4 linked regions of the Anolis sagrei genome follow. The protein of the gene in region 3 binds, or shares a complex with, the protein of the main gene of each other region. Links are inferred from orthologs where the notes say so. Each region holds a gene or a part of one and is shown on either strand. Other genes may lie near its edges. The genes, in order: MYBL1, LIN54, TFDP1 and MYBL2.

Region 1 (7,531 bases), on a different chromosome or scaffold from region 3:
TGTTATTGTTACTGTTTATTGCTTTGTTTATGAGTTTATTTGCTGTCTGTATTGCTGTTGTTGCTGTTTTTAACTGATGTATTTGGGCTCGGCCTCTTGTAAGCCGCACTGAGTCCTTCAGGGTATAAATAAAGGTTTATTATTATTATTATTATTATTATTATTATTATTATTACATTTTTATTTATATAAGATAGATAGATAGATAGATAGATAGATAGATGACATATAGATTTACGACATAGAAATGTCGTAAATAAATATACACACACACACATACATTTGAAGGGAGTCACACTTTAAAATGTACCTGTTCCGACTTACATACTAATTCACCTTAAGAACAACCCTGTAGAACAGCATTTCTCAACCTTGGGATCGGGACCCCTGGAGGGGTCGCGAGGGGGTGTCAGAGGGGTCGTCAAGGACTATCAGAAAGCACAATATTTTCTGTTGGTCATGGAGGTTCTGTGTGGGAAGTTTGGCCCAATTCTATTGTTGGTGGAGTTCAGAATGCTCTTTGATTATAGGTGAACTATAAATCCCAACAACTACAACTCCCAAATGTTATAGTCTATTTTCCCCAAACTCCACCAGTGTTCACATTTTGGGCATATTGAGTATTTCTGCCAAGTTTGGTCCAGATCCATCACTGTTTGGGTCCACAGTGCTCTCCTGATGTACGTGAACTACAACTCTCAATGCCCACCAAACCCTTCCAGTATTTTCTGTTGGTCATGAGAGTTCTGTGAGCCAAATCTGGTTCAGTTTCATTGTTGGTGGAGTCCAGAATGCTCTTTGATTGTAGGTGAACTATAAATCCCAGCAACTACAATTCGCAAATGTCAAGGTCTATTTTCTCCCAAATTCACCAGTGTTCACATTTGAGCATATTGAGTATTCATTCCAAGTTTGGTCCAGATCCATCATTGTTTAAGTCCACAGTGCTCTCTGGATATAGGTGAACTACAACTCCCAAACTCAAGGTCAATACCCACCAAACCCTTCCAGTATTTTCTGTTGGTCATGGGAGTTCTATGAGCCAAGTTTGGTTCAGTTCCATTATTGATAGAGTCCAGAATGCTCTTTGATTGTAGGTGGACTATAAATCCCAGCAACTACAACTCCCAAATGACAAAATCATAATTTCTTGAGTGATGGTCATTCCTTGTGCTGTGAGACTTTTTGTTGCGAAATTTGGCGTGATTTTGTTCATTGGTTCTTTTGTTTTTAAGGTACTCATTATGCACAGAGCATTTTTATATATATAGATTACATTATAATATTATAAATAGTATATGCATATACAATATATTATATTATATTATTAGGATAGCACAGGAAACAAGGTGGAACTTGTCTTTTAAGTTTATATTTGTTAAAATTGTTCATCATTTTAATTATTGCATTGTTTTAAAGTGTTTTTTTGTACTACAAATAAGATGTGTGAGGTGTTTATAGGAATTCATTCATTTTTTTCAAATTATAATCCGGCCCTCCAACAGTTTGAGGGACTATGACCTGGCCCTCTGTTTAAAAAGTTTGAGGACCCCTGCTTTAAAATGTACCTGTTCCGACTTACATACTAATTCACCTTAAGAACAACCCTGTATAACAGTGTTTCTCAACCTGGGGGTCGGGACCCCTGGGGGGGTCACAAAGGGGTGTCAGAGGTGTCCCCAAAGACCATCAAAAACCACAGTACTTTCTGTTGTTCATGGGGGTTCTGCGTGGGAAGTTTGGCCCAATTCTATCATTGGTGGAGTTCAGAATGCTCTTTGATTGTAGGTGAACTATAAATCCCAGCAACTACAACTCCCAAATGTCAAGGCCTATTTTCCCCAAACTCCACTAGTGTTCACATTTGGGCATATTGAGTATTCATGCCAAGTTTGGCCCAGATCTATCATTGTTTGAGTCCACAGTGCTCTCTTGATGTACGTGAACAACAACTCCCAAACTCAAGGTTTCTTCCAATATATTTCTGTTGGTCATTGGAGGGCTGTGTGCCAAAATTGGTTCAATTCAATTGTTGATGGAGTCCAGAATGCTCTTTGATTGTAAGTGGACTATAAATCCCAACAACTACAACTCCCAAATGACAAAATCAATCCCCCTTCCCAACCCCACCAGTATTCAAATTTAGGCATATTGAGTATTTGTGCCAAATTTGGTCCAGTGAATGAGAATACATCCTGCATATTTATTTATTTATTTACTTACTTACTTTGCTTGTATACCGCAGTTTCTCAGCCCGTAGGCGACTCAACGCGGTTCACAACAAGAGCAAAAAAGTCAATCGTACAACATACAATATTTAAAAACCATTAACAGCCTAGTATACAAATAATGACACATCAATAACAACACATTAGCATCTCGTAACTAAAATCGTGATCCAATTCGTCATAAATCCGTTCCTATATTCATCGTTCAATTGCACTATTTATCTGAACGCCTGTTCAAACAGCCAGGTTTTTAGTTTTCTTCGAAACACGATTAACGAAGGGGCTGATCTAATGTCCATGGGAAGGGCGTTCCACAGCCGAGGGGCCACCACAGAGAAGGCCCTGTCCCTCGTCCCCCGCCAGCCGTGCTTGCGATGCAGGCGGGATCGAGAGCAGGGCCTCCCCAGAAGATCTTAGAGTCCTGGTGGGTTCATAGGCAGATATTCCCATTACAATTCATAATAGTAGTTCTGAAGTAGCGACAACAATATTTTTTTTATAATGGGGGGGGGGGGTCACCACAACATGAGGAACTGTATTAAGGGGTCGCGGCCTTAGGAAGGTTGAGAACCACTGCTGTAGAACCCCATCTTGTTCGCAACTCGGGGACTGCCTGCCCTCTGAAAGCTTTCTCTGCCAAAGAGCGCTGAGGTCCCGCCTAACGACCACTCCCTCGAGCCAAGGCATTCAAAGCGTGTGGATGGAGGGATGGAAGGAAGGATGGAGAAAGAATCCCTCCTGAGGGGGAGAGGAGTAGTTGTGGCTCACCTTCGCGGCCTCTTCGCCATCCTTTGAGGGCACCATAAGGCGGAAAGAGGAGGGAAGCGGGGCTGTCACCGCCGGCCGAACTGAAGGAATGGCAGAGGGAGGAGGAGAGCGGGAGAAAGGCAGCTTTTAGCCCCGGCCTCGCCTGGGGGACATGGTCCTCCTCCTCCGGCCTCTTCTCCTTTGCTGCTGCTGCTGCTGCTGCCTCTCTTTTTCGTCCCTGCCGCCGAATCTCGCGCCCAGCCTCTTTCCAGAGCCACCGTTTGAATCTGCGCACGCGGACTGCCTCCCCATTGGCTGCCTCCGAGAGCACGCGACCCAGCCGAGGGGGCGGGGCTAGGGGAGGGAGGAGGAGGAGGAGGGGAGGGTGCGCGATATTGGAGAAGGGGAGAAAGTGGCGGCGGGCTCGGGACAGAGAAAAGGGCGCAAAGCCTGCTGGGAAATGTAGTCTTTTTTTGTTTTCTCCCTTCACTCTTGGGAAATGAGACAAAACCCAATAGGAAAAATAACATAATTGCACCTAAGGATAAAATGAAATAATTGCCATATTTGACGGGGGATGAACAACCAAAAAAAAAATTCAAATCTCCTTCGAGCCGGAATCGAACCAGCGACCTAAGGATTCCCGCAAGCAGCCAATGCCTCTACAGTCCTCCGCTCTACCAGCTGAGCTATCGAAGGGACGCTGTGTGCGAGCTCGTGTTTTTGCCCTATACTTTCGCTGCCCTGTGAATTGTTCTAAAGCTGGCATAGGTAAACCTGGGCCTTGCAGGTGTTTTGGACTCCAACTCCCACCATTCCTCACAGCCTCAGGCCCCTTCCTCAAGGGGGGGCCTGAGGCTGTGAGGAATGGTGGGAGTTGAAGTCCAAAACTCCTACAAATCCAAAGTTTGTCATCCCTGGGCTAAATCAATGGAACCAATTACCTTAAGAGAGGCCCAAATCATTCTGGGTAGGAAATTCTAGTAGTACAGACACACTCTTCTTCAATGTGTACATTAATAGTGTGAACACACGTTTATTAAATATTTAAATGCAGTTTAATATTCTCAAAACAGCATTTGGGGCATAGTTTTTAAACTTACTTTACTTAAGCGATCCCTTGTCTTCGACCTCTATTCGTGCCTCTTCAAATTCTACAGCACTGCTGGTCACAGCTGACCTCCAGCTGGAGCGCTCACAGGTTTCCCAGTTCTCAGTGTCTATGCCAAAGTTTTTAAGGTTCACAATGAGCCCATCTTTCAATCAACATTCCGTTTTCCGCTCTTGAGTTTGGAGTAGAGCAACTGCTTTGGGAGACGGTGGTTGGGCATCCGGAAAACGTGACCGGACCATCGCTTCAGTGCTGGTGGTCTTTGCTTCTTCCAGCACGCTGACATTTGTCCGCTTGTCTACCCAAGAGATTTGCCAGATTTTCCGGAGGCAACTCTGATGGAATCGTTCCAGGAGTTGCATGTGACGTCTGTAGACAGTCCATGTCTCGCAGGCGTATAGCAGGATTAGGAGGAAAATAGCTTTATAAACAAGCACCTTGGTCTCCCTATGGATGTCCCGGTCCTCAAACACTCTCTGCTTCATTCAGAAAAATGCTGCACTCGCAGAGCTCAGGCGGTGCTGTATTTCAGTGTCAATGTTGACTTTTGTGGAGAGGTGGCTGCCAAGGTAGCAGAAATAGTCAACATCTTCTAATGTTACACCATTAAGCTGTATTTCTGGCATTGGGGAGGGTGAGTTTTCCGGGCAGTGTGGCCATATTCCAGAAGCATTCTCTCCTGACGTTTCACCCACATCTATGGCAGGCACCCTCAGAAGTTGTGAGGTCTGTTGGAAACTAGGCAAGTGAGGTTGCAGCTTCAAAGCCTGGCTGGTTGCTGCCTGAGGGGGATCCTTTGTTGGGAGGTGTTAGCTGGCCCTGATTGATTCTTGTCTGGAAATCCCCTGGTTTTTTTTTAGTGTTGCTCTTTATTTACTGTCCTGATTTTAGAGTTTTTAAATACTGTTAGCCAGATTTTGTTCATTTTCATATTTTCCTCCTTTCTGTTGCTATTCTCCAAATGCTTGTGGATTTCAATGGATTCTCTGTGTAGTCTGATATGGTGGTTGTTAGAGTGTTCCAGCATTTCTGTATTATTTTTTTTATTTAAAACATTTAAATTCCGCCTTCTCACCCCAAAGGGGACTCAGGGCGGAGCACAGCATACACACGGCAAACATTCAGTGCCGGGACACAAATTCACATGCAATACATAAACATTAAAAACATCAAAATATTAAAATACACCATTTAAAATTGTCCTAGTCCATATGTATTCTTACATATGCTGTGTCCAGGTTGGTTCACCGAGTGCTCTGCTATGGCTGACTTCTCTGGTTGAATTAGTCTGCAGTGCCTTTCATGTTCCTTGATTTGTGTTTGGTCAATGCTGCGTTTGTCTCAATACTGAACCATTCAAGTTGGTTTTCAGCACAAAACAGAGTGTTAATAAGATAATGCCATGACTGAGCTATTAACATTTCATTTCCACAGCTCCAACAACCAAGCTACCGACACATCTGGAGATTGTATTTATTTATTTATTCTGTATCAAAAGCATTGCATAAATGAGCCCCCGGTGGCGCAGTGGGTTAAACCCCTGTGCCGGCCGGACTGAAGACCGACAGGTTGCAGGTTCGAATTCGGGGAGAGGCAGATGAGCTCCCTCTATCAGCTCCAGCTCCTCATACGGGGACATGACAGAAGCCTCCCACAAGGATGATAAAAACATCACATCATCCAGGCATCCCCTGGGCAACGTCTCTCACACCAGAAGTGACTTGCAGTTTCTCAAATCGCTCCTGACATGACAAAAAAAATTGCATAAATTAGTTTAAAACTTCTAAAAATAGAGGGAGCACAAGTGGCTAAATATGAACTAGATTCTATGGCAATATGGACTCAGATAATCCATATTGTGGATTATTTGCCTTGATATTGTGGGTTATTTATTGATTTATTTTGTATCAAAAGCATTGCATAAATTAGTATAAAACTGATAAAAACAGAAGGAGCACAAGCAGCTAAATATCTTTTCACCAAAAACAGGCAACAACGACCATATTGTCTATAGCCTCAAACAATTCTTCCTCTGTGCATGAAGCAGGACACTGCGGACAGGCATGCAGATGCAGTGTTGCTTGTTCTGCTCCACAATAACACAAGGTGGAGGATTCTTTTAGGTAGTGCCATTTTGCCAGGTTGTCTTTTGATCTGCCCATTTTACTTTGGAGTCTGTTCAGGGACTTCAAAGTTGCCCATTCTTGGTTTAGCTTCCAGAGGGATACTCTTGTTGTTGCTGCGGGAAGATTAAGAGGAGTGGTGGTTCTCATGAAGCTTTTCCTTGATTTAAGTCTACTGGGAGGAGGCTGATAGCCATGCAGTGGATGGCTTTCGCAGTGTTCAATCTAGGGAATGGCAGCGAGACACATTGCAGTCTGTTCATAACAGATAAGAAAATATTATGTACTTTGTAACACAGCACGCATTGGGGTTATTGGATAGCTCTTTACTTAATTCTGTTATGTTGTAAGTTCAACATTGAAAACTGAAAATTTTAGGGCCCAAAATATTTTGAATGTACGTAGAAGAGGAAGCGTTCTGTAGAGTCCCTGCTCTTCTGTTGCTTTTACACAAAGAATAATGCGTCATAAATTTAAAATGGAAGCCTTCAAAGGAAGAGTTATACAGTCCCTAATGGATCTTATAACAGATGAATTATGATCATTTCTATTTTGAACATTTAACGCAGACTCATGAGTTACCAGTTCCAGAAATAGCATGAAGGAGTTTCCAGTATGGTCAGCTGAAAGGAGCGTGCAGATAGAAAGGGGAAAAATTGTTAACCTATGCAAATCCTAATCAAATGTGTAGTGAGGAAATAACAAAACTCCAAAGCTGATTTGAATTTGTAGCCAGTTTTTGTGTCTACCTAGGAATTCATTTCTATTTGATCTGGAATCGATAGTTAAATCAAGCAGGATATCATTCTGTTTACAGCTTTCAGGGAAGATGTTTGGTTCAGTTGATCTCTTGTGGCATAGACTTATGATCCACAGCAAAACAGATTGCTTATATGTGATGCATCAAATAAATCAGCCAGAATGTTGCTTACAACGAGAGTGCAAATTTGTATAGGTCACTTTCTCCTCTCACACATTTTGAATGACAAAGGTCATAACTCCCTTTTTAAGGGGACTGTTCCACAGTCAGTGTGGAGCTGCACCTATTACCCAACCCACCTGAGCAGCTGGACATAAACCAGACTTAAAACAGAAAACAAGACTACTCCCATAATTAAGCAGTGAGGAAGCTGTCTTATGCAGGTCCGGAGTGCCATGAAAAAGTAGAAAATTATTTTTTAAATTGTTGTATTTTTAGAACTGAAGGTGAAGAGATGCACTGGAAGAGTATTTTGCTTTATGCCAAAATTATTAGGCCAGCGTTAAGTACTTTTTATCTTGACTTGGTTGAGTGGCTGTTTTGCCTCAGGCAGCAAAATGTC
Region 2 (7,276 bases), on a different chromosome or scaffold from region 3:
ATCTACACTGGTCATCTAGTCCAACCTCCTGCCATGCAGGGAAAACAATCAAAGCACCCCTAACAGATGGCCATCCGTCCACTGTTTAAAAGCTTCCAAGGAAGGAGCTTCTACCACACTCCAAAGCAGTCAGTTCTTAGTACGTAGCATGTTTTGGAAATGTTAGAATTTCTCTAGAACATGGCCATATAGCCCGAAAAAAACTACAAGAACCCAGTAATTCCGGCCATGAAAGCCTTCGACAATACAAGGAAATGTTTCTGTTGGCATATTCTGGGACTGTATTCTTGAACAGTCATCTCATTCCGGGGAGGGCGCAGATGAGCTCCCTCTGTCAGCTCCAGCTCCCCATGTGGGGACATGAGAGAAGCCTCCCACAAGGATGGCAAAACATCAAAAACACCTGGGCATCCCCCTGGGAAACGTCCTTGCAGACGGCCAACTCTCTCACACCAGAAGTAACTTGCAGTTTCTCAAATTGCTCCTGATACAAAAAAATACACATCTGATTCTTGCCAAATACTTGGGGGGGGGGGCTTCTTATATTATTTCTAATGGTAACCTTTAGTGCTGATTTGTAAAACTTCCCTTTATAGCAGAGCCTTTGTTTTGGTTTCACCAGTTGCTTAATGCTATTTCTGGCTCTGTCAAAACACACAACACCCATGATCAACAATCAAGGAGCAAATATGCTAACATCCAGTTCACTATGGAAAAAGGAAGGAAGACTGCCTTTTCTAGATGTCCTAGTCATCCGTAAACCAGATCAACAATTGGATCACACAGTTTACAGAAAACCCACACACAGAGATAGATATCTACATAAAAACTCCAACCATCACCCAAGTCAAAAAAGAAGCACCATTAAAGCCTTGACAGACAGTGCAAAAAGAATCTGTGAACCCCACCTCCTCCAAGATGAACTGAACCACCTCAACTGGGCTCTCCAGGCCAATGGATACTCCACCTCAGACATCAGGAGAGCTTCAAGACCAAGAACAAGCCACGAGAGTACGGTAAAGATGAAGATCCACCCAGAGGAAAAGTGTTCCTGCCATACATCAAGGGAACCACTGACCGCATAGGGAAGCTGATGAGAAAACACAACATACAAACTATCTACAAACCCACCAAGAAAATCAAACAAATGCTACGTTCAGCAAAGGACAAGAGGGATCCTCTCACCTCTGCAGGAGTCTACCATATACCATGCAGCTGTGGACAAGTCTACATAGGGACCACCAAACGCAGCGCCCAAACACGAATCAAGGAACACGAAAGGCACTGCAGACTACTCCAACCAGAGAAGTCAGCCATAGCAGAGCACCTGATGAACCAACCTGGATACAGCATATTATTTGAGAACACAAAAATGCTCGACCACTCTCACAACCACCATGTCAGACTACACAGAGAAGCCATTGAAATCCACAAACATGTGGACAATTTCAACAGAAAGGAAGAAACCATGAAAATGAACAAAATCTGGCTACCAGTATTAAAAAATTCTAAAATTGCAACAGCAAAACAGCAGGGAGAAAAACAGGCAGGGACATCTAATCACCTTTCAAGAAGAGTTTGCTCCAGGCACTGTCAGCCCATTGTATGCTAATCAAGGTGGTCAGTGGAAAGATTCACACCCAGCCCAACTTACAAAAGCCCCTTTGTCTCACCCTGGCCATTCCACAGATATATAAACCCCTTTTTTCCCATTTCCAGTAGACCTCACCTCTGAGGATGCTTGCCATAGATGCAGGCGAAACATCAGGAGAAATGCCTCTAGAACATGGCCATATAGCCCGAAAAAACCCACAAGAACTGAGTGATTCCAGCCATGAAAGCCTTCGACAATACATTAAATATGCTATTTGTTTGTATTGGCATCGTATCGGTGCCCAATGTAAGGCATTGAATTTTGCCATTATTTATGTGTAAACTGCTTCGAGTCCCCCCAAGGGTGAGAAAGGCGGTACATAAATACTGGAAATAAATAAATAATTAATAAATAATAAATTTCTGTCCCTGGGTTTTTTTTTGGTTGTTGTTGTGTCAGGAGCGACTTCAGAGACTGCAAGTTGCTTCTGGTGTGAGAGAATTGGCCGTCTGCAAGGACGTTGCCCAGGGGATGCCCAGATGATTTGATGTTTTTATCATCCTTGTGGGAGGCTTCTCTCATGTCCCTGCATAGGGAGCTGGAGCTGACAGAGGGAGCTCACCCTCATTTTCCCCGATTTGAACCTCTGACCTGTTGGTCTTCAGTCCTGCTGGCACAAGGGTTTAACCCACTGTGCCACGGGGGGGGGGGGGGGGTTAAAATCCTCAATTCACGTTTATGTGGCACCAATGCTATGGGAAGTGGAAGTAGCACGGAGAAATCAATAGAATGAGTACAGATAAAGAGGTTATCTCATATTACACTAGGTAACAAAATTTGGAAAAAAAAATCTGTCGGTCTTCAGTCCTGCCGGCACAGGGGTTTAACAGGGCTCTGTCCCGGTCAAAACTCATAACACCCACAATCAACAATCAAGGAGTGATTAACAAGTTTTGGAGCTATCAACAAGCATGTGTCCTATTTAAATGCCAAAATGAATGTATGGTTTCAGTTGATGTGTCAGATATGCTCCTGCAAAAACAACAGATTGTCCACAGGGAAAAATTACACGGTGTGCAGTATGGATTAGGCCTGGGCCAACTTGGGCCCTTCCTCCTTCCAGGTGTTTTGGACTCCAACTCCCACAATTCCTAACAGCCGGCAGTGTAAATACACAAGGCCTGGGCCAACTTGGGCCCTCCCTCCAGGTGTTTTGGACTCCAACTCCCACAATTCCTAACAGCCTACCGGCTGTTAGGAATTGTGGGAGTTGAAACACCTGGAGGGAGGGCCCAAGTTGGCCCAGGCCTTGTGTATTTCCCTACTGTTAGGAATTGTGGGAGTTGGAGTCCAAAACACCTGGAGGGAGGGAGGGCCCAAGTTGGCCCAGGCCTGGTGTATTTACCCTGTCCCGTAATGCAGTTGATATGAGGCACCTGTCACTCCAGGGCGCGTTTCCCGTCAGGCTTCTCCTCCGAGCACCAGGCCTTCCTTCGCCCTCAGGCTGCCGTTAAACCCTCGCGGCCAGAAGCGCAGCCCTCTCTCCCCCGCCTCCGCTCTCTCCTCCTCCTCCTCCTCTCCCTTCTCTCCTTCTCCCGGTTCCGTGTTTGTTCAAAATCACGCGCCCAGCGCCATTCCGCCGCATCCCATAATAGCTCGGCAGCGCCGCCGTCTTGGCAACGGCTTCGGCGTCATCACTCTTCTCCCGCCTTCTCCAAAAACACAGCCACTTCCGGGTTGAAAGCGTCACTGTGCGTGCGTGCGTGTACGCGCGCGCGCTCGAGAATGACGCAGAGTCCGCCCTCATTGGTTTCTGAGGCGACGGAGGGGGCGTGGTTATTTTTCCCTCACCGGAAGTGTAGAAAAGAAAAATGGCGGCGGCGGTGAGGCAGGAGTTGACGCAGCTCATGAGCTCCAGCGGCTCCCACAAGGATTTAGCCGGGAAGTAAGCGACGGCTTCTTGGTTTTCGATGAGGGAAGGCGGAGCGGGGCAGGAGAAGCTCGCAAAAAGGGAAGGGAAGGCATTGTATTGTCGAAGGCTTTCATGGCCGGAATCACTGGGTTGTTGTAGGTTTTTTCGGGCTATATGGCCATGGTCTAGAGGCATTCTCTCCTGATGTTTCGCCTGCATCTATGGCAAGCATCCTCAGAGGTAGTGAGGTCTGTTGGAACTAGGAAAAAGGGGTTTATATATCTGTGGAATGACCAGGGTGGGACAAAGGACTCTTGTCTGTTGCAGCTAGGTGTGAATGTTTCAGCTGACTACCTTGATTGGCATTTGATGGCCTGGAAGTGCCTGGAGCAATCTTTTGTTGAGAGGTGATTAGATGTCCCTGATTGTTTTCCTTCTGCTGTTTTGCTGTTTTAATTTTAGAGTTTTTAATTTGCTTGCCACAGATGCAGGCAAAACGTCAGGAAATAATGCCTCTAGAACATGGCCATATAGCCCCCAAAAAAACCTACAACAACTGAGTGATTCCAGCCATCCTCAGAGGTAGTGAGGTCAGACTACACAGAGAAGCCACTGAAATCCACAAGCATGTGGACAATTTCAACAAAAAGGAGGAAACCATGAAAATGAACAAAATCTGGCTCCCGGTACTAAAAAAAAACTCTAAAATTACAACGGCTAAACAACAGAGAGGAAACAAACAAGGACATCTAATCACCTCTCAACAAAAGATTGTCCCAGGCACTGTCAGGCCATGAAATGCTAATCAAGGTAGTCAGTTGAAACATTCACATTTAGCTCCCGCAGACAAGAGTTCTTTGTCCCACCCTGGTCATTCCACAGATATATAAACCCTTTTTCCTTGTTCCAACAGACCTCACTATCTCTGAGGATGCTTGCCATAGATGCAGGCGAAACGTCAGGAGAGAATGCCTCTAGACCATCGCCATATAGCCCGAAAAACCTACAACAACCCAGGGAAGGCATTGATTCAGTGGTTTAAACACGGCCTGGCCCGTCCCTTGCCCATCTTCACTGTAGAATGAATAATAATAATCTATATAAATAAAAATGTAATGTTCGTTTGTGCTATCCATAGAACTCACAAACCACTGGGGCAACTGGCACCAAATTTGGACACGATACACCTAACAACCCAATTTATGTCCTTCATTCAAAAAATTGATTTTGTCATTTGGGAGTTGTAGTTGCTGGGACTTGTAGTTCACCTACAATCAAAGTACATTCCGAACCCCGTCAACGATGGAATTGAACCAAACTTGGCACGCAGTTCTCCCATGACCAACAGAAAATACTGGAAGGGTTTGGTGGGCAGTGTCCTTTGGTTTTGGAGTTGTAGTTCACCTACATCCAAAGATCACTGTGGACTCAAACAATGATGGATCTGGACCAAACTCTACAAGAATACTCAATATGCCGAAATGTGAACACTGGTGGAGTTTGGGGGAAATAGAATCTTGACACTTGGGAGTTGTAGTTGCTGGGATTTATAGTTCACCTACAATCAAGGAGCGTTCTGAACCCCACCAATGATAGAATTGGGCCAAAGTTCCCACACAGAACCTCCATGATCACAGAAATTACTGTGTTTTCTGATAGTCTTTGGCAACCCCTCTGACACAGCTTCGCAACCCCCCCAGGGGTCCTGACCCCCAGGTTGAGAAACACTGCTCTAGAACATGGCCATATAGCCCGAAAAAACCCAAACCCTGTAAAAGTTAGACAGTCATACACACATCTCAACATGTGTGTGTGCAATCTCACTGAGACCCCCTCCAAAAAAAATACTGCTTTATTGGGTCCCTTTTCATCTTCCAGGTTCTCTAATTCACTATGGATTCATCACATTTTGTCAACATCCTACCTCCACTTAGCCAAGCAAACATTTTCCTTCTCTTCTATTAATTATTTTTACATCCCCAGCTGTTAATGCCCTTTGCATGTGGTGTTATCGTTTCCCCTTCTCCTTGCTCTTGAACCTATTATCCTTGAGAGTTTTATGTACAGCAAACCATCTTTCAAAACAATTTCTCCCACTGCAACCAAAAGGCTTTCTCTAAGACAATTACTAAGTTGAACGTGTTTATAAATTGAGCAAAATCTTGCTTTTCAGTGTCCTTCAATTATTCCAATTATTCTTCAATTATTATTAAAATCCCAGCTACATTCCCTACCCTGAAGGAGGTTGCATCTCTACTCATCAGGATCAGTATGTGTCACCTTCTCAAATGCCACCGCTTGCCCTTTATTAAACCTATGGTACTAAACATAGTATTCCCAACATAGTATTCCCATGAGGCATCACCATCTGATCTGTGGAGACTTTCTAGGAAATAAACAGGTGCAGTCAGTGGACACAAATATGGTGTCACCTATAGCACTTTGCTGTTGTTCCTCCGCATCAGATCCTACTTACTTACTTAGGTTATCCCTCATTGTCCGAGTATTTTGGCCTTTCAATTGTAGTGTCTTGGTGGTGGATACATATAATAATAATAATAATAATAATAATAATAATAAACTTTATTTCTACCCCGCTACCATCTCCCCGATGGGGACTCGGAGCGGCTTACATGGGGGCAAGCCTGGACAACATAATACAGCAATAAAATCAAAACATATACAATGGACAGCAACAACATTATCAAAATGATATTAAAATAATAATGTTAACCCCTCAGCTGAACAGTTGTTAGGATGTAATCTCCATCTCAGATGGAATTTACTGGTTGATTTACCCTGTTTAATGATTAAATTATTGATACATTTGTACTCCTGCCTTGTCTATACAGTGAGCAGTAGGAAATAGGAGTAAGATACTGGTTTTCAAAGTGTTAAAAATAACTATTTTCTTTCCAGCAAGTCATGTTTTTAACACTCCTGAAAATCAACAATCAAGATATTCAAATAGCACAGTGAGAAATAAGGTGACAGTTTTGTGGTTATGGCCTTTGCGTTTTGAATGTGACAGGAAGTATGTGTGACATCCAAAATATAGACATGGTGGCCACAGCACTGTCACTTTCTTTTCCTCATAAACAGTTTCACCATTTTTGCTTGATAAAGAGTTCTGTCAAGCTTTGAAAGCAAGTGGAATGTACTTTGTGCCTTTCCGTTGGCCTAGTAAAGGTATCAGCACAGAAGAGAGTTTTGTGCTTTGTTGTGTTTTTTTTTAAGGACAAATTCCTTAAACCTAAGTTATGTTTTGACTGTTTACATTGACTACTACTCTCATTCCACCCAAATGTAAAACTCATTCTGAAAATAAGCCAGTATTGTTAATTGTGACTGATTTATTTTTGACATTTTCTGGCAGATATCGGCAGATATTGGAAAAAGCAATTCAGCTCTCTGGAGTCGAACAGTTAGAGGCATTAAAAGCCTTCGTAGAAGCAAGTGAGTTTCAACATTGTTTTTCAGATGTTGTTAAATGCCAGAGTTATAAATGCCGAACTGCAGGACTTGCATTTGTGTTTGTGTGTAGGTAAACAGTTTTTCATTTGCCTGTTTTTGTGTCATGGAATTGCTAATGATGCTTACTCTTGTTAATCCAGGAGTACTTGGACCACATGAGACAAATGAGTTGAAAATTTGACAATGTACCACTGTTGGTGTAATATACAAAAGCTCATTTCATTTAGTTTGGCTGTCTGAAAATTAAGTTTGCAATCAACAAAATATAATTTAGTCTTGATAACAGCATGATTATG
Region 3 (8,235 bases):
TCCACTTTTGCTGAAGTAGATAGAGCTGTTGGCAGATTTTTAAAAAACGGATTTTGGTAGACAAAATGGCTCCAGACCTCACTTCAGAATAAATTTTAACTAAAAGGAAGATATTGCGAGCTGTGCCATTCTGCTGCTGCTTCATTTTAACCCAGTACAGCACGAATTGATGCTGTTATGTGAAATAATGCCACCACTGCCAAATAATGTCAATTAATACCACTACTAATACACAGCAATATATTCCCAGAGATGTTGCGCTAGTAGAGATTACAACCTGTTATACATGATATAATAAAGTAATTTTAGTCAAGGTAAGAGTAGTACTGCCATATGTTCTAGGAATCTCTTTGACACCTATGACTAGTTGTGTAGCACAGAACAGACCCGTATTATTAAACCCTGGAGATGTCACTGCAAGATTCAAGGCTACAACTACTTTATTGAATACTTACTGTTGATTCAATGCACATCTATAGGATCAAAGTGAATTCCTATTATTTGTTAGTCCTTGTGTTAACATGTGGGTTTGTAGGATCATTATAAACAGACATACTTACATCTTTTGCCATGTTATCAAGTCCAAGAAATCAATTCTTTACTTGCGTTGTTGCCACAGGATAAACAGAAGAAGCAGTTCTATATTCTGAAAGAAGAAAAGAAAAAAAATTAAGCTAGCATACTGAAAATCAATTTAGAGTTGAAATAATTAAAATTAGGTTTTTCTGCCAAAGAGTTCAAAGTGCAGGCTTAAAGTAAAAGCTTGAAACCTTCAGATTTTTGACAAGCTCTGTTTTTTTAAAAAAGAATATTGCATCTTTCTTTTGAGAACATAATACAACTCAAACTGACAGAAGAGGATTTCCTCCTTTTTGGGTGGTGAGGGAGATTAAACCTGTCCAGCTCTACATTATGGCTCACGCATGTCCCACGCTGAAGTGGGCAAGAGGAAGCTTAGTGCAGATGCAGCATAGGCCCCGTCTACACTAACCATTTAATGAAGTTCAAACTCACACAAAAGCATGCAAAAGCAAACCCTCAATGCATATCAGTGCTCTGTGGTTTGTGTCCTCACCATCCAGGCCTCAAGCTAGTTCCTGGATTTCTTCTGTAATCACTTTTTTCAACACCTATTTGAAATTGGATTAAATGTGCAGTGTAGATGGAGGCCTAAGTCATGTCCAGCTCTGCATTAGACCCCCTTGAGAAGCACAATTATACTTCATGCACAAACAGACCTGGCCTGCCCTGAAGTGGGCAAGGAGGGGAAGACTAAGCTATGTGCCTGACCATTCACAACCTAGTTGCTAGGCCTCAGGGGCCCAACTCCCTTTAGCAGCACTCTTTGCCAGCTCAAAACAAAACCCAACCTCCAACATGCAAGCAAGGCCCAGTCCAGTCCCTTCGATGATATGGCGTAAGGGAAAAGGGAGGGAAGCTAGTGCTCCCAGTTCCCTGTGCAAAAAGGCAGGCAGGCTGCAGCATCTGTGCTTCAGAGAACAAGCCCTGCCAGCCTCCCCCCGGGCCTCAGAAAGAGAGGGAGGGAGAGCCCTAGAAGTCTAGCCCAGCAGTACAACTGAAAGAGAGAGAGGGGCAGACAGGCAGGGAGAAGGAGGGCCACCCATGCACCAAGCTCACCCCCACTGAAGGGAAGGGGGAAGGGAAGGCAAGGCGGTGGGGGAAGAAGAAAGAGAGAAAAGGGGAAGGAGGAAGCTGTTTTCTTCCTGCCTCAAAGGCTTTCCCCCCACCTGGCTGCCCCCTTCTGCCTCTTTCCCAAAAGAGTACCTGAAGAACCAGAAGAGGAGAATCCGAGAGCAAACTCCATCCCCCAACGCAGGGGAAGAGAGAGAGAGAGAGCCAGAGATGCCAACTGCACATGTGCAATGCACGGCCCTCCTCAAAACCCCCTCGGGGGGCGGGCTGTGGGGAGGAAGATGATCAGGGAAGCAGCAGCAACACCACCATTTGCACACAAGACAAAGTGGCAAAGAGGGGGAGAAATTAGGAGGAAGAGGGAAGGAAGGAAGGAAGGAAGGAAGGAAGGAAGGAAGGAAGGAAGGAAGGAAGGAAGGAAGGCAGGCAGGCAGGCAGGCAGGCAGGCAGGCAGGCAAGGAGGGAGGCCTCTGCCACCGTAGCAATTGCACTGGCCCTGATAAGAAAAGGCGGGCCAACCATTAGGAGAAAAAATATATCTCAAAAACACAGAAAAAAGTAACCCTGATCTTTTGCGCCTGTTTTTTTCCCCAGAAGGAACTCCAAAAAGTGGTCAGGAAAGGAAAGCCAAGGAAGGGGTGCATTTAGGGGGAGGGTGAAAGTGTTGACTTGGATCAAAGTGTGGACTCCCTTGCATATGCCTCCTGCCACAGCTTGCAAGTCTTCATTCAGGGGGAGAGGATGGGGCTACAAGGGAATCAGTCCCTCCACTCAAAATTGGCAGGTCCTTCATGCTGTCCAGGTCTGCATTGGTTCCCTGAGATACAAGCACAGTGCTGGGTTGCTGTAGGTTTTCTGGGCTGTATGGCCATGTTCCAGAAGCATTCTCTCCTGACGTTTCGCCTGCATCTATAGATGCAGGCGAAACGTCAGGAGAGAATGCTTCTGGAACATGGCCATACAGCCCACAAAACTTACAGCAACCCAGTGATTCAAGCCATGATAATACAAAGCACAGTGCTGCCTCATAACAGTTCCTGAAGTTGGTGGGGAGGGGGGGGGGCAGAGAAGGGACCCCCACAAACACGCGAGGCAGGCCTCCCTCTTCCCACAAGCGCCATCATCCCCCGCCAAAGCCCAGCGCCTCCTCACCACCAGCACCACCTTGGCTCCTCTTCCTCCTCCTCCTTCTCTTCGCCCTGCCCCCTCCCTCCTCCCCCTCCCCCTGTTTTCACACCTGTTTCCCGCTCCCTCCTCCTCCTCCTCCATGAAGGGAGGGCTTCTGGGCAGCGCGCGCGCCCTCCCCTTTTCCTGCGCGCGACCCCGCTGCCGTTACTGCCTTTCCTTTTTTTTTTTTGGCAGTTGGCAGGAAGACGGGAGAAAGAGGGGGGGGGAGAATTGAAACTTACACTTTCGTGCGTCCCTCCGGCGTGACGCTGCGCGCTGACGTCACGGAGTGGAACGTGCCCCACATAGCCACACGCGGGGAGATTAAAGTTCCCTCCCTCTCTCCTTCTGCTTCCATCCCTTCAGCGCCATACGTTTAGGAGGGAGGGGAAGCGCATGCGCAAAGTTTTCGCGCCTTCGGGATTCCACCACGCCTCCCTTTCTCCCGGGGAAGTGCGCGCGCGGGAAGGCCAAGAAAGAGCGCGAGAGCCAGCTGGCTCTCGAGGGTGGCAGTGGGGCCTCGCGCCGCGCGCCGCCCTCGCGAGACTCAAGGCCTGTCATCCGGGGAGCTGGAGTTTTGGCGAGGCGCCGGCGCTCTTTGAACCAGGGAATCATAGAATACTGAAGTTGGAAGAGACCTCGTGGGGCATCCAGTCCAATCCCCTGCTAAGAAGCAGGAGAATCGCATTCAAAGCAGCCCCGACAGACGGCCATCCAGCCTCTGCTTAAAAGCCTCCAAAGAAGGAGCCTCCACACTCCGGGGCAGAGAGTTCCACTGATGAACAGCTCTCACAGTCAGGAAATTCTTCATGTCCAGATGGAATCTCCTTTCTTGTAGTTTGAAGCCATTGTTCCGCGTCCTAGTCTCCAGGGAAGCAGAAAACAAGCTTGCTCCCTCCTCCCTGTGGCTTCCTCTCACATATTTATACATGGCTATCATGTCTCCTCTCAGCCTTCTCTTCAGGCTAAACATGCCCAGCTCCTTAAGCCGCTCCTCATAGGGCTTGTTCTCCAGACCCTTGACCATTTTAGTCGCCCTCTGGACATATTTCTCCTCCCTATGACTTCCTCTCATATTCTCATGTCTCCTCAGCCTTCTCTGAAGCCAGAAGACCTTGTGAAACTACCGCTCCCATTGAAGGAGATGTAGTTTATAAGATTTTATAAACGCTATATAGGACTGTAAGTCGCAGAACATGCAAAGTGCATGCCCCATCACCATGTTTCCATGGCATTGGGGCATAGCAATTAAAAGTGGTGTCAAACCGCATTAATACTACAGTGTGTATGCACCCACGGTCTTCCCACGTGGCTGTATGGCCAGATGTCTTGCGAATGATGATCATAAACTCGAACTGGAGGACCTAGAACAGGCATGGCAAACTTCACCCCTCCAGGTGTTTTGGACTTCCAACTCCCACAATTCCTAATAGCCGGCACAATCAATCAGGGCCAGCTAACACCTGCCAACAAAGGATTCCCCCAGGCAGCAACCAGCCGGGCTTTGAAGCTGCAAGGACTTTCGGTGCTAATCAAAGTGGCCAATTGCAACATTCACACCTGCCTCAAGCAGACAAGAGTTTTTTCCCCACTCTAGACGTTCCACAGATATATAAACCTCACTTGCATAGTTCCCAACAGATCTCACAACCTCTGAGGATGCCTGCTATAGATGCAGCAGAGAATGCTTCTGGAACATGGCCATATACAGCCCAGAAAACTCATGGCAACCCAGCCGGTAGGCTGTTAGGAATTGTGGGAGTTGACGTCCAAAACACCTGGAGGGCCAAAGTTTGCCCATGCCTGACCTAGAAAATCCTAGCGAGGTTTAAATCAAATCTGCAAATAAAGTACCTGCAGATGTGGGGGCAGGGCTGTAATTTGAAAAAAAAAAAAGCATGCTATGCAGGAATCAATATTTAGTACATGGAAAAAAACAGGCACCTAGGGCCAGGCAACCTCAATAAAAATAATAAGTATTTAAGTCCTGCTTTTTTCCCTCCAAGGAAACTCAAAGCAGCAAACACTAAAAAAATAACAAACAAAATGCAGACTAATGCCAAAAGCACATAAACATTAAAATAAAGAACTATTAAAAAGCATATTTAAATCCAATAAAGCCATTAAAGAGGCTATTGCAAGCATAACTGGTAGGCTATGATGTCATGCAGGGGATCAATGCTTTTGGATTCCTTGGTACCTAAAATAACATTCTTACCCTTCTACTTGAATAACAAACCTCTACAGTTTGGTTGAATGTTGGAAAGGTTCACCTGCTTTAATTCTTAATCGGCTTAAATATATTGTTTTATTAATTCATTTGTTTAAGCAGGCATATAACTTTACTTACCGTATTAGAAGTTGAAAATAATGCAAACCCTTAAATCATTTCTTGTTAACTGCCATCAAGTCAAGTTTGAGTTATGGCAGCTTCATAAATGGGACACATCCACATCTCTGACCATCAAGGGCCCTACTCAAATCTTACATAAACATCTTCATTGAATCTGTCCACCTGTAACGCAGTCTTCCTTTTTTCCTGCTGCCTTTTACCTTACCAAGCATGATTATCTTTTCTACTGAGTCATGTCTTCTCATGTACCCAATGTATGAATCCCAACATGGTCACCTTGGCTTATCGCTTCTGGTGTGAGAGAATTGGCCGTCTGCAAGGACGTTGCCCAGGGGACGCCCGGATGATTTGATGTTTTATCATCCTTGTGGGAGGCTTCCCTCATGTCCCCGCATGAGGAGCTGGAGCTGATAGAGGGAGCTCATCCGCCTCTCCCCGGATTCAAACCTGCTATCTTCAGTTCTGCCGGCACAGGGGTTTAACCCACTGTGCCACCGGGGGCTCACACCAGAAGCCACTTGCGAACACTACTTTACCCATAATGTCTGGGAATCGCCAGAAGGCTAAACGGAGGGCTGCACAAACACAACAAGGACCAAGTACCAAAAGCACAATAATCCCAATTAAACAGCTCAAGGGAAGATCTCAGGGGCTCACATGTCTTTACACTAATGCACAGAGCATGGGAAATAAACAAGACAAACTCCAACGTTTAGCACAACACCACAAATATGATATCATAGGGATCACTGAAACCTGGTGGGATGACTCCTATAGCTGGAATGTAGATATCGAGGGGTTTAACCTCTTTCACAGAAACCGAATGAAGGGGAGAGGAGGCGGAGTAGCCTTATATGTCAAAAACTCTTATGCTGCAGAAGATTCAAGACAGCAATCTGGGAAACCAGCTTGAAATCATCTGGATAAGAATCAAGGGAACTGGGACTCAAAAAGATGTCGTTGTAGGCGTCTACTACAGACCCCCAAGCCAGGAGGAAGAACTTGATGAAGTCTTCTGCCAACAGTTGACCAAACAGGCACAGAGAAGAGATGTAGTAGCCATGGGCGATTTCAACTATCCCGATATTTGCTGGAAAACAAACTCAGCCAAGAGTACAAGGTCCAACAAATTCCTCGCTTGCCTTGCAGACAATTTCATGGTCCAGAAGGTAGAAGAGGCAACAAGGGGATTGGCTACTCTTGATCTCATCCTAACAAATGCGGAGGACCTGATCGATGCGGTCGAAGTGGTAGGATCCTTAGGGGCAAGTGACCATGTGCTCCTGCAATTTGAGGTACAAAGGAAGGCCGAAACTAAGACAAGTCAAACCCGCATTTTGGACTTTAGGAGAGCTGATTTCCAAAAAATGAAGGAAACGCTGAGCAGCATTCCGTGGACACAGATACTAAAAGACAAGGGAGTTACGGATGGATGGGAATTTCTCAAGAGTGAAATACTCAAGGCGCAATTGCAAACCGTGCCAACAAAGAGAAAAAATAGGACAAGTGCAAAGAAGCCAGAATAGATGTCCAAAGAACTTCTAACTGTGCTAAGACACAAAAGAGACATGCACAAGAAGTGGAAAAAGGGAGAAATCACCAAAGAAGAATTCAAACAAATAGCCAACACCTGTAGGGAAAAGGTCCGCAAGGCTAAAGCAAAAAACGAGCTCAGACTTGCCAGGGACATTAAAAACAATAAAAAGGAAAAACAAGGAGGTGATAGGACCTCTTCGAGGAGAAGATGGGGCAATGCTGACAGGGGATAGGGAAAAGGCAGAACTATTTAATACCTTCTTTGCCGCGGTCTTCTCACAAAAAGAGAGTCTTCAACCTCAGCAAGATGGAGTGGATGAGGGATTGGAGGACATCCAACCCCAAATTGGGAAAGAAGTCGTCCAGAAATACCTGGCCACTCTTAATGAGTTCAAGTCCCCAGGGCCAGATCAACTACACCCCAGAGTATTGAAGGAACTAGCAGAAGTCATTTCGGAACCATTGACAACCATCTTTGAGAGTTCTTGGAGAATGGGAGAAGTTCCAGCAGATTGGTGGAGGGCCAATGTGGTCCCAATCTTCAAGAAGGGAAAAAAGGATGACCCAAACAACTACCGTCCGGTCAGCCTCACGTCGATACCGGGCAAGATTCTGGAAAAGATTGTTAAGGAAGCGGTCTGCAAACACTTAGAAACAAATGCAGTCATCGCTAATAGTCAACATGGATTTATCAAAAACAAGTCATGCCAGACTAATCTGATCTCTTTCTTCGATAGAGTTACAAGCTGGGTAGATGCGGGGAATGCCGTGGATGTAGCGTACCTGGATTTCAGTAAGGCCTTCGACAAGGTCCCCCATGACCTTCTGGCAAGGAAACTAGTCCAATGTGGGCTAGGCAAAACTACGGTGAGGTGGATCTGTAATTGGTTAAGTGGACGAACGCAGAGTGCTCACTAATGCTTCCTCTTCATCTTGGAAAGAAGTGATGAGCGGAGTGCCCCAGGGTTCCGTCCTGGGCCCGGTCCTGTTCAACATCTTTATTAATGACTTAGATGAAGGGTTAGAAGGCAGGATCATCAAGTTTGCAGACGACACCAAATTGGGAGGGATGGCCAATAGTCCAGAGGACAGGAGCAGGATTCAAAACGATCTTGACAGATTAGAGAGATGGGCCAAAACTAAAAAAATGAAGTTCAACAGTGACAAATGCAAGATACTCCACTTTGGCAGAAAAAATGAAATGCAAAGATACAGAATGGGTGACGCCTGGCTCGAGAGCAGTACGTGTGAAAAAGATCTTGGAGTCTTCATGGACAACAAGTTAAACATGAGCCAACAATGTGATGTGGCGGCAAAAAAAGCCAATGGGATTTTGGCCTGCACCAATAGGAGGATAGTATCTAGATCTAAGGAAGTAATGCTACTCCTCTATTCTGCTTTGGTTAGACCACATCTGGAATATTGTGTCCAATTCTGGGCACCACAATTCAAGAGAGATATTGACAAGCTGGAATGTGTCCAGAGGAGGGCGACTAAAATGATCAAGGGTCTGGAGAACAAGCCCT
Region 4 (8,379 bases), on a different chromosome or scaffold from region 3:
CTTCATTATTTCAGTTATTCGCTAAGGTGCTGCAAGATCCCGTTGTATACCGATGTTCCAGACCATTGATTGATAATACATATCCTACCTTGCTTTAATTCAGTGGTTTCTCATCCTGCGGGTCCCCAGATGTTTTGGCCTTCAACTCCCAGAAATCTGAATAGCTAGTAAATGGGATGGGATTTCAGGGAGTTGCAGGCCAAAATACCTGGGGACCCACAGGCTGAGAACCACTGTTCTAGACCAATACGGCAGCATCTTTGAATAGCTGGACAAGGGAGATATCCATAGGATTCCTATTTTATTTATTGAAATTTGACAGTGCCCTTCCTGCCAGAAGTAAAATACTGGCTGCAATTGCTAAGCCCCCTTCAGGCATGTAGCCAGGGGGGGGGGGCTCGGGGGGCTTCAGCCCCCCCCCCCCCCCCGAAATTTTCATGGTGGTTCGCGAAAAAGCCTTAATGGTGCATTATTTAAACTGTTATGTTTATTCATATCATGATCTGATCACCATACTCAATATATCCCATATGCATGGGGGTATTGGGGTAACGATACAAAAGGTTTGCTAGGCTAGCCCCTCTTTCACTCAGACTCAGCCCCCCCCGAAACTCAGCCTCCCCCCGAAACCCCCCCTGAAAAAAAATTCAGCCCCCCCCGAAACGAAATCCTGGCTACGGGCCTGGCCCCCTTCTACAATGTTATATATCCCAGGATCTGATCCTGGGATATAGGAGCAGTGTGGAAGGGGCCCAAGGCAGATGAGACTTCTGAAGGACCATAAATGCCCCAGCTTTTCAAGTCAGGACTTCTCATAATAGCTCTTGATGAATGTCGCCAGAGTGTTTCCCATCCCACTCCATACCTTAACCCCCAAAATCCCCACAGGACAATACCTCTTCGCGTGACCATTTGACTTTGCACCTGTTGTCCCGCCGTTCCTGAGCATCTGAGTCTTGACTGTGCAATTCATCTTGCTCTTCACTAGTTTTAAAAGAAAGGAAGAGACACTTTGTTAACACAATATTGAATTACCTTGTTCATCAGTTGAGAATTTAAGCTTTTCTCATTCAGCAAAAGGTTTAGTTGACCTCCAGCTAGAGTGCTCAAGAGCCTGGACATTCCAATTGCCTAGCTTCCAACAGACCTCATGACCTCTGAGGATGCCTGCCATGGATGTGGGTGAAACATCAGAAGAGAATGCTTCTTGAACATGGCCATACAGCCCGGAAAACTCACAGCAACCCACCTATTAAAATATTGCTAGTTGCATCCATCCATGCAAACAGCAGTGATTTTGTTGAAAAGTGTGCTTCCTAATGTTACTCTCAACCACAGTAGACATAATGAATTAGAAGGATTTGCAGAAGGATTGGCTTACAGATCATCCAGTTGACTATGTGGGTCTGTTAATTGGATTTAGGCCCATATAGATAAATCAAATTAACAGACCCACTGAATCAACTGGATGATCCGCAAGCCAACCCTTCTGTGACCAGCAGTGCTGTGGAATTCGAAGAGGCACAAATGGAGGGCAAAAGGGAGAAACGTGCTAAGAAACGTCCTTCCACCTGGAAACCAATGTCCTCACTGGGAGAGAACATGCAGAACAGCCACCTACGAACCCACCAGACTTGGAGGACCATCATCCTTGGCCCCCGAGAGATTGCCTAAGTAAAGAAGGAATGTCCAGGGAGGAAGAAAGAACTCTTGTCTGTTGGAGGCAAGTGTGAATGTTGAAATTGGCCACCTTGATTAGCATTTAAATGACTTTGCAGCTTCAAAGCCTGGGCGATTGCTGCCTGGGGGAATCCTTTGTTGGGAGGTGTTATCTAGTCATGATTGTTTCATGACAGGAATTCTCCTGTTTCTTGCAATCCTCTTTATTTACTGACCTGATTTTAGAGTTTTTGAAAGAATGGTAGCCATATTTTGTTCATTTTCATAGTTTCCTCCTTCCCGTTGCAATTGTCCACATGCTCGTGGATTCTTTTAATTGCTTTCTTTCAATAACTTTCTCATGACCTCCAAGGAATCTGAAGTTTGTATTTGTTACAAGACACGGGGTGCATTTATACTAAATTTGATGCAGTCTGATACTGCTTTAACTGCCATGGTTCAATGCTATGAAACCATGTGAGTTGTAGTTTTACCAGGTTTTTAGCCTTCTCTGACAAAGAGAGCTGGTGCTCCAGCAAACTACAAATTCTGTGGTTCTACAGCATGGCAACTAAGAGTTAAAGTACATTAATTTTACAATGTAAATGCATACTTCCTTTTCAGTGATTGGAAATGCATTGCCATTTCCTCCATTCAGGTGTGCTGGGGGAAGGGAAGAGAAAGAGCCCTTCCATATAGCCATATAGCCCAGAATATCAAGGCAAAAAATATCCCACAGTATCTGCTTTAAACTGGGTTATCTGAGTCCACACTGCCATATATTCCAGTTTAAAGCAGAAAATGTGGGATTTTATTCAGCTGTGTGGAAGGGGCCTAAATCCCAGAATATCAAGGCAGAAAATCCCACATTATCTGAGTGTGGACACAGATAACCCAGTTCAAAGCAGGTATTGTGGGATTTTCTGCCTTGATATTCTGGGATATAGGGCTGTATGGAAGGGGCTTAAGTAATCTAAAGATTTCACACTGAAATAATAGTTACCAAATCGATCTAGATAAAAACCCAAGCCCTTTAAAATAAATCGATCAGGGAGGACCTTCCTTTCCCCTTCCTTTTTTGGCGCAAAGAGAATTGAGTTCCTCTCCCGCCTTGGAAATTCACGCGGGCCATCTGGAGCACCCCTTAAAATATTGCACCCAAATTAAAATAAAATAGAGCAACCTCGCTTTCAAATTAAGTCATCCATGGAAACCATAGGATCACTTCCACTATTGTGGGGGATACATCTCTCTTTGCTATGAGAGAAATTACCTTTTGGGGAAATGGCCAGGAAATACCCCCCCCCCCCACACACACACACACACTTATTTCCCTCTTAATCAAATTTATAGTATTTAAGGCAATATCATTTTAACCCCAATGCAAAACTCACCAGCCAACCTTGCGGGACATCCTGTTCTGTTCTAGATTTAAAAAAAAACAATTAGGCAAGAATATAAATTAAAATAACGATCCCAAAGAAGAAGAAGAGGTGGATGAGGTTATAGCAGCAGCAGCAGCAAGAGCAACAGTGCTGGCCACCATTGCAAGGAAGGAAAGGGGAGCCCAGGATTAGCGCGCGCGGATGGCTCGCGCCCGCCCGGGTCTCCAGAGCAGCAATTTTTTCCTATCTCGCGCCAACCCCGCCCCCGGCTGCCAGCCAGCCAACCACTTTCTTCCGGCGTGGTGACGTCCCGTGCGCGCGGCGGACGAGAAACGAAAATCTATTGGACCTGGGGTGGAAAGAAGCGGGGCCAAAGTGGCGCGCGCGGGCAAAGTTGGGAAGCTTCTGGTTTAAGAGGCTCAAGTCAGCAGATCCTTCCAGCTGTGCATCATCCCAAGCTAGTAGCGATCAATATAATCAGATGAGCACTGTGGGTTCCTCTTTTGTAAATTTTTAATTAACTAACTTCTTTCATTCCTTCTTTTTTTAAAAAAACTCCCACATAGAGTTCATCTACACTGTAGAATTGATGCAGTTTGATACCTCTTTAACGACCTTGGCTCAATGCTGTGGAATCCTGGGATTTGTAGCTTGGTGTGGCACCAGCAACTGGCAGACCTTGTAAAACTGCATCTTTCAGAATGTCATGGAATTGAGCTATGGCAGTTAAAGTGGTAAGAGATAAAGGAAAAGGTTTCCCCCTGACATTTAGGCCAGTCGTGTCTGACTCTGGGGTTTGGTGCTCATCTCCATTTCTAAGCTGAAGAGCCGGCATTGACCGTAGACACCTCTAAGGTCATGTGGCCGGCATGACTGCATAGAGCGCTGTTAACCTTCCCACCAAATCATCATCATCATCACTTTATTTCTTAATTAGTCGCTTTCCACCAAAATGCTCCAAGTGACTTATAATTTAAAATAGCTTATTTGTTGTTCATTCGTTCAGTCGCCTCCGACTCTTCGTGACCTCATGGCCCAGCCCACGCCAGAGCTCCCTGTCGGCCGTCACCACCCCCAGGTCCTTCAAGGTCAGTCCAGTCACTTCAAGGATGCTGTCCATCCATCTTGCCCTTGGTCGGCAAGGGCAAAATAGGGCAAAATAGCTTATATACAATATAAAAACATTCAACATAAAAACATTCAATATAAGAACATTCAACATAAAAACATCCAAAGGGGTACCTATTGATCTAATAACATTTGCATGTTTTTGAACTGCTAGGTTGGCAGAAGCTGGGCCTAACAGCAGGAGCGCACCCCGCTCCTAGGATTCAATCCGCCAACCTTTCAGTCAGCAAGTTGAGCAGCTCAGCAGTTTAACCTGCTGTACCACAAAATACAACAATAAAGTCTGAAATGACTTGCTCACAACAACAATCCTCATTAACGTGAGTCTCATCAGCCAAAGGCAGGCCTACACTTCCCATTGAAATACTGGCAAGTTTATGTTGGTTAAAATTATTCATTATTTTAAATAGTGTATTGTTCTTTCGAGGGGCCGTAATGGTGCAGTGGGTTAAACCACTAAGCTGCAGAAATTGCTGATTGGAAGGCGGTGGTTCAAATCCAGAGATGGGTGAGCTCCCGCTGTTAGCCCCAGCTTCTGTCAACCTAGTAAAAAGGTAAAGGTTTCTCCTCATATTAAGTCCAGTCGTGTCCGGCTCTGGGGGTTGGTGCTTTTTCTAAGCCAAAGAGCCGGCATTGTCTGTAGACACCTCCAAGGTCATGGCCAGCATGATTGCATGGAGCGCTGTTACCTTCCCACTGGATCGGTTCCTATTGATCTACTCACATTTGGATGTTTTCAAATTGCTAGGTTGGCAGAAGCTGGGGCTGACAGTGGGAGCTCACCCCACTCCCCAGATTCAAACCTGCGACCTTTCGGTCAACAAGTTTAGCAGCTCAGTGGTTTAACGCACTGTGCTACCGGGGGCTCCAGTTAAAGTGATACCAAACTGCATTAATTCTACCGTGCAGATGCCCCCAAGGAAACAATACAAAAAGCAGATCTTCGTTGGTAGAGTCCACTTTAGCCACCATGACTCTACTATGTCCAGTATCTCCCGGAACCAACACTATTGCTGGACTTAATATCATCCACAATATGATGATTCTTTTATACAACAATGCATCTTCTGCATAGGATGTACCTTCATTTCCTGGCAATGCCCTCTTGTATTGTTACACCGGGTTTACAAACCCATCTTGGGAAGGGGGGGGGGGGGGAGAGAAGAAATAGCCAAATATCTGACATCTGAAATAGTAATATTAAGTTTTCCATTGATACATCCATTCAATTAACAAACTTTTGCCACACAAGTCTTATCTTAATATACATTATTCAAAAGTCACTTTACCTTAAATGACGCTGTGTGTATTAATAACGTGCATTGTTTAAGGACCCAACTATCTGATGAAGACTCCTGTGAGTCAAAACCGGTTGAATGTTATGTAATAAAGAAAATAGGACATTTGGGTTGTTGTAAGTTTTTTGGGCTGTATGGCCATGTTCTAGAAGCATTCTCTCCTGACATTTCACCTGCATCTGTGGCAAGCATCTTTACTGTGCAAGGATTTGGAGTTTACTCGTCTGTAGTAAAGAGTCAAGTACTATTTCCACACATGAAGAAGAATTTTTTAATTTTTCGAGAAAAGAACAAATTATTTATTGTTAAATGTGAATGCAACAATCCTATGTTTTACTGACATTTGTATTTGCATGTATACATTGAGCTTCTGTGTGTTTAGATACATTTGCATCACTGCAATTAGTGGATACTGACCTTTTTAATTCCAAGGGAACCCATTTTTCTTTGCTTTTCAACACTGTATGGAACCTAGAGAGAATTCTTTGTCAGAGAATTTTTGGGCCTCACTAATTACAAAATGCAAACAATGTTGCTATGGCATTTACAGTGGTGTAATAATAATAATTGCATACTGCAAGTTGCTTCTGGCGTGAGAGAATTGACCATCTACCAAGATATTGCTCAGGGGATGCTCAAATGTGTCTTCTGTTCGGATATCAACCAGCAAGCCAATGCCCTAAATCAAGAAATAGCCTCCTAAGATCTACAGAGATATTTGCAGGAACACCTCAGCAAGCAAGAGTCCAAAAGTGGCAAGTTAAAACCTGGACCCTCAATCTGAACAGACTGCGCTCTGGCACCACAAGACGCAGAGCCAATCTTAAGAAATGGGGCTTCAAAGTGGAATCCATGAAATGCAAGGGTGGAAAACAGCCCTACACAATGGACGACCCTCTTACAGTGACACTAGAGGCACTGCAAGTGGCCAGCTTCTGTTCAAAAGAAATTTAGTATAATGCCAAGTTTTTAACTTTGTGGTTTTTTGTGAATTATAACTGTATTCTCAATTTGCTTTTGACATTACACATACACACACAATTATTCCACCATTAATCCCATGACATTATCACAGTGTAGTGATAAGAATCTCAATTTGCTGTATGAACATGTATTAATCCCAGCAAACCATCATTACATCAAACACATGGTGATCATTCTTGAATACGACGAACAGAGGAAAATTGACACAGCTGAATAAGAATTCATCAGGAAGTTCTCCTGTGACTCAAACTGTAACAAAGGGCTTATTGCTGTATGTGTTAATCAACCTCCTGTCAATCAACAATACTACTGTTAAGATGACATCAACATGCCTTTTGCATTTGAATTTCCTTTGGCCACGGTGGCAACTCTTCCCCACCCATTCTCCTGCATAACAGTCTGCCAATTTAAAACGTCACCTTCTCTAGCTCAAAGGGAAAGAGAGAATAAATTTGTTCCCAGTGCCACATGTGATTTAATTGTAATTCTTTACTTCAATATTCTATATGGCCATTCCACACAGCCATATAGCCCAGAATATCAAGGCAGAAAATCCCACAATATCTGCTTTGAACGGGGTTATCTGAGTCCAAACTGCCATATATTCCAGTTCAAAGCAGAAAATGTGGGGTTTGGAAGGGGCCAACAAGGAATCTTGTAACACTTGGGAGAATAACACATTTTATTTATCATAAGTTTCTGGCAGGTTTAATAGATACAACCAGATGGGTTGAGGAGTCTGTAAAATATTATGTTGAATAAGACATTCCAGTCCTCTCTAAAGTGCAACAGGACTGTTGAAATATTGCAGTTAATCCCATCAAAGCCATGCATTCCTGTAGAAGATAACTTGTTAGGTGACTTCCTGACATCCAAAGAAAAGTTTACACCTCCAGGTAAAGTAGATATTCTTCCTCAAATGGTAATCAACTTAACTTTACATACATAAAGGGAATATTTATCTATAAGCAAGAAACCACACATATCATGAACAGTATTTTGCTTCGGGGGGGGGGGGGGACGGGGACAACATCACAGTATTCCAATACAGACAATAAGGGCTTGGGAAAGCTACTTTTTTGTATTGCAGCTCAGTTGTACTCTAAAAAGTAACCTTTCAAAGCCCTGCATAGAAGCATATTCAGGAACTCGCCAATGAAGAACCCACTTTGCTCCATTACAGAAATGTTTTGCGATTTAAATGAACTCATTTGTTCATTCCAAATAAATATGCCTTTCCCAGTCTCTGATATAAACATAAAGTAGTAATGCTGTAATTTCTAGAAGTTTAAAACAGAATAGGAGAGTTTAAAAATTGCATTAATATGTTTTGGTACCGAGTACAGAATTGGTACATTCCAGCAGCCAATGTGCCATTCATCCAATATTCTGTACAAGAAGACAGGTGTCATAGGAAGACAAGTCAGAACAATGCCATAGTTTGTCAGAATTTGGTATTCATAGCCTGTGCCTTTAGATGGCACTGTTGTGCTTCATAAACTAAGAAATATTTCTGTATTTCTTCCTTCTAAGGCTACTTCCACACAGCTGAATAAAGTCCCACATTTTCTGCTTTGAACTGGAATTTATGGCAGTGTGGACTCAGATAAACCAGTTCAAATCAGATATTGTGGGATTTTCTAACTTGATAGTCTGAGATATAGGGCTGTGTGGAAGGGCCCCCAGACATATTTCTTTTCCTATATTGTAAAGGTAAAGGCCTCCCCTTGACATTAAGTCTAGTGGTGTCCAACTCAGAGTGATGGTGCTCATCTCCATTTCTGAGCTGAAGAGCCAGTGTTGTCTGTAGATGCCTCCAAGGTCATGTGGCTGGCATGACTGCATGGAGCACTGTTACCTTCCCGCCAAAGCGGTACCTATTGATCTACTCATATTTGCAAATTTCTAGGTTACCAGACGCTGGG

What was found.
Region 1: TFDP1 (region 3) and MYBL1 share a complex: the UniProt entries of both Homo sapiens proteins name them as parts of the DREAM complex. The link is inferred for Anolis sagrei from reciprocal best matches to the Homo sapiens genes TFDP1 and MYBL1.
Region 2: TFDP1 (region 3) and LIN54 share a complex: the UniProt entries of both Homo sapiens proteins name them as parts of the DREAM complex. The link is inferred for Anolis sagrei from reciprocal best matches to the Homo sapiens genes TFDP1 and LIN54.
Region 4: TFDP1 (region 3) and MYBL2 share a complex: the UniProt entries of both Homo sapiens proteins name them as parts of the DREAM complex. The link is inferred for Anolis sagrei from reciprocal best matches to the Homo sapiens genes TFDP1 and MYBL2.

What each region holds. Positions count from the first base shown.
Region 1 is NC_090024.1:45,428,392-45,435,922, reverse strand, and holds the start of MYBL1 (myb-related protein A), read right to left. Parts: upstream 3,253-7,531; 5' UTR 3,033-3,252; coding exon 2,997-3,032; intron 1-2,996. UniProt on the Homo sapiens protein: Transcription factor that specifically recognizes the sequence 5'-YAAC[GT]G-3'.
Region 2 is NC_090025.1:17,418,789-17,426,064, forward strand, and holds the start of LIN54 (protein lin-54 homolog), read right to left. Parts: upstream 3,333-7,276; 5' UTR 3,000-3,332; intron 1-2,999. Other genes in the region: COPS4 (COP9 signalosome complex subunit 4), read left to right, coding at 3,466-3,539, 6,883-6,962. UniProt on the Homo sapiens protein: Component of the DREAM complex, a multiprotein complex that can both act as a transcription activator or repressor depending on the context. In G0 phase, the complex binds to more than 800 promoters and is required for repression of E2F target genes.
Region 3 is NC_090023.1:108,401,140-108,409,374, forward strand, and holds the start of TFDP1 (transcription factor Dp-1), read right to left. Parts: upstream 3,209-8,235; 5' UTR 3,063-3,208; intron 3,034-3,062; exon of another isoform or gene 2,891-3,033; intron 2,860-2,890; exon of another isoform or gene 2,806-2,859; intron 1,882-2,805; exon of another isoform or gene 1,786-1,881; intron 647-1,785; 5' UTR 573-646; coding exon 561-572; intron 1-560. UniProt on the Homo sapiens protein: Can stimulate E2F-dependent transcription.
Region 4 is NC_090024.1:212,223,521-212,231,899, reverse strand, and holds the start of MYBL2 (myb-related protein B), read right to left. Parts: upstream 3,299-8,379; 5' UTR 3,074-3,298; coding exon 3,054-3,073; intron 985-3,053; coding exon 897-984; intron 1-896. UniProt on the Homo sapiens protein: Transcription factor involved in the regulation of cell survival, proliferation, and differentiation. Transactivates the expression of the CLU gene.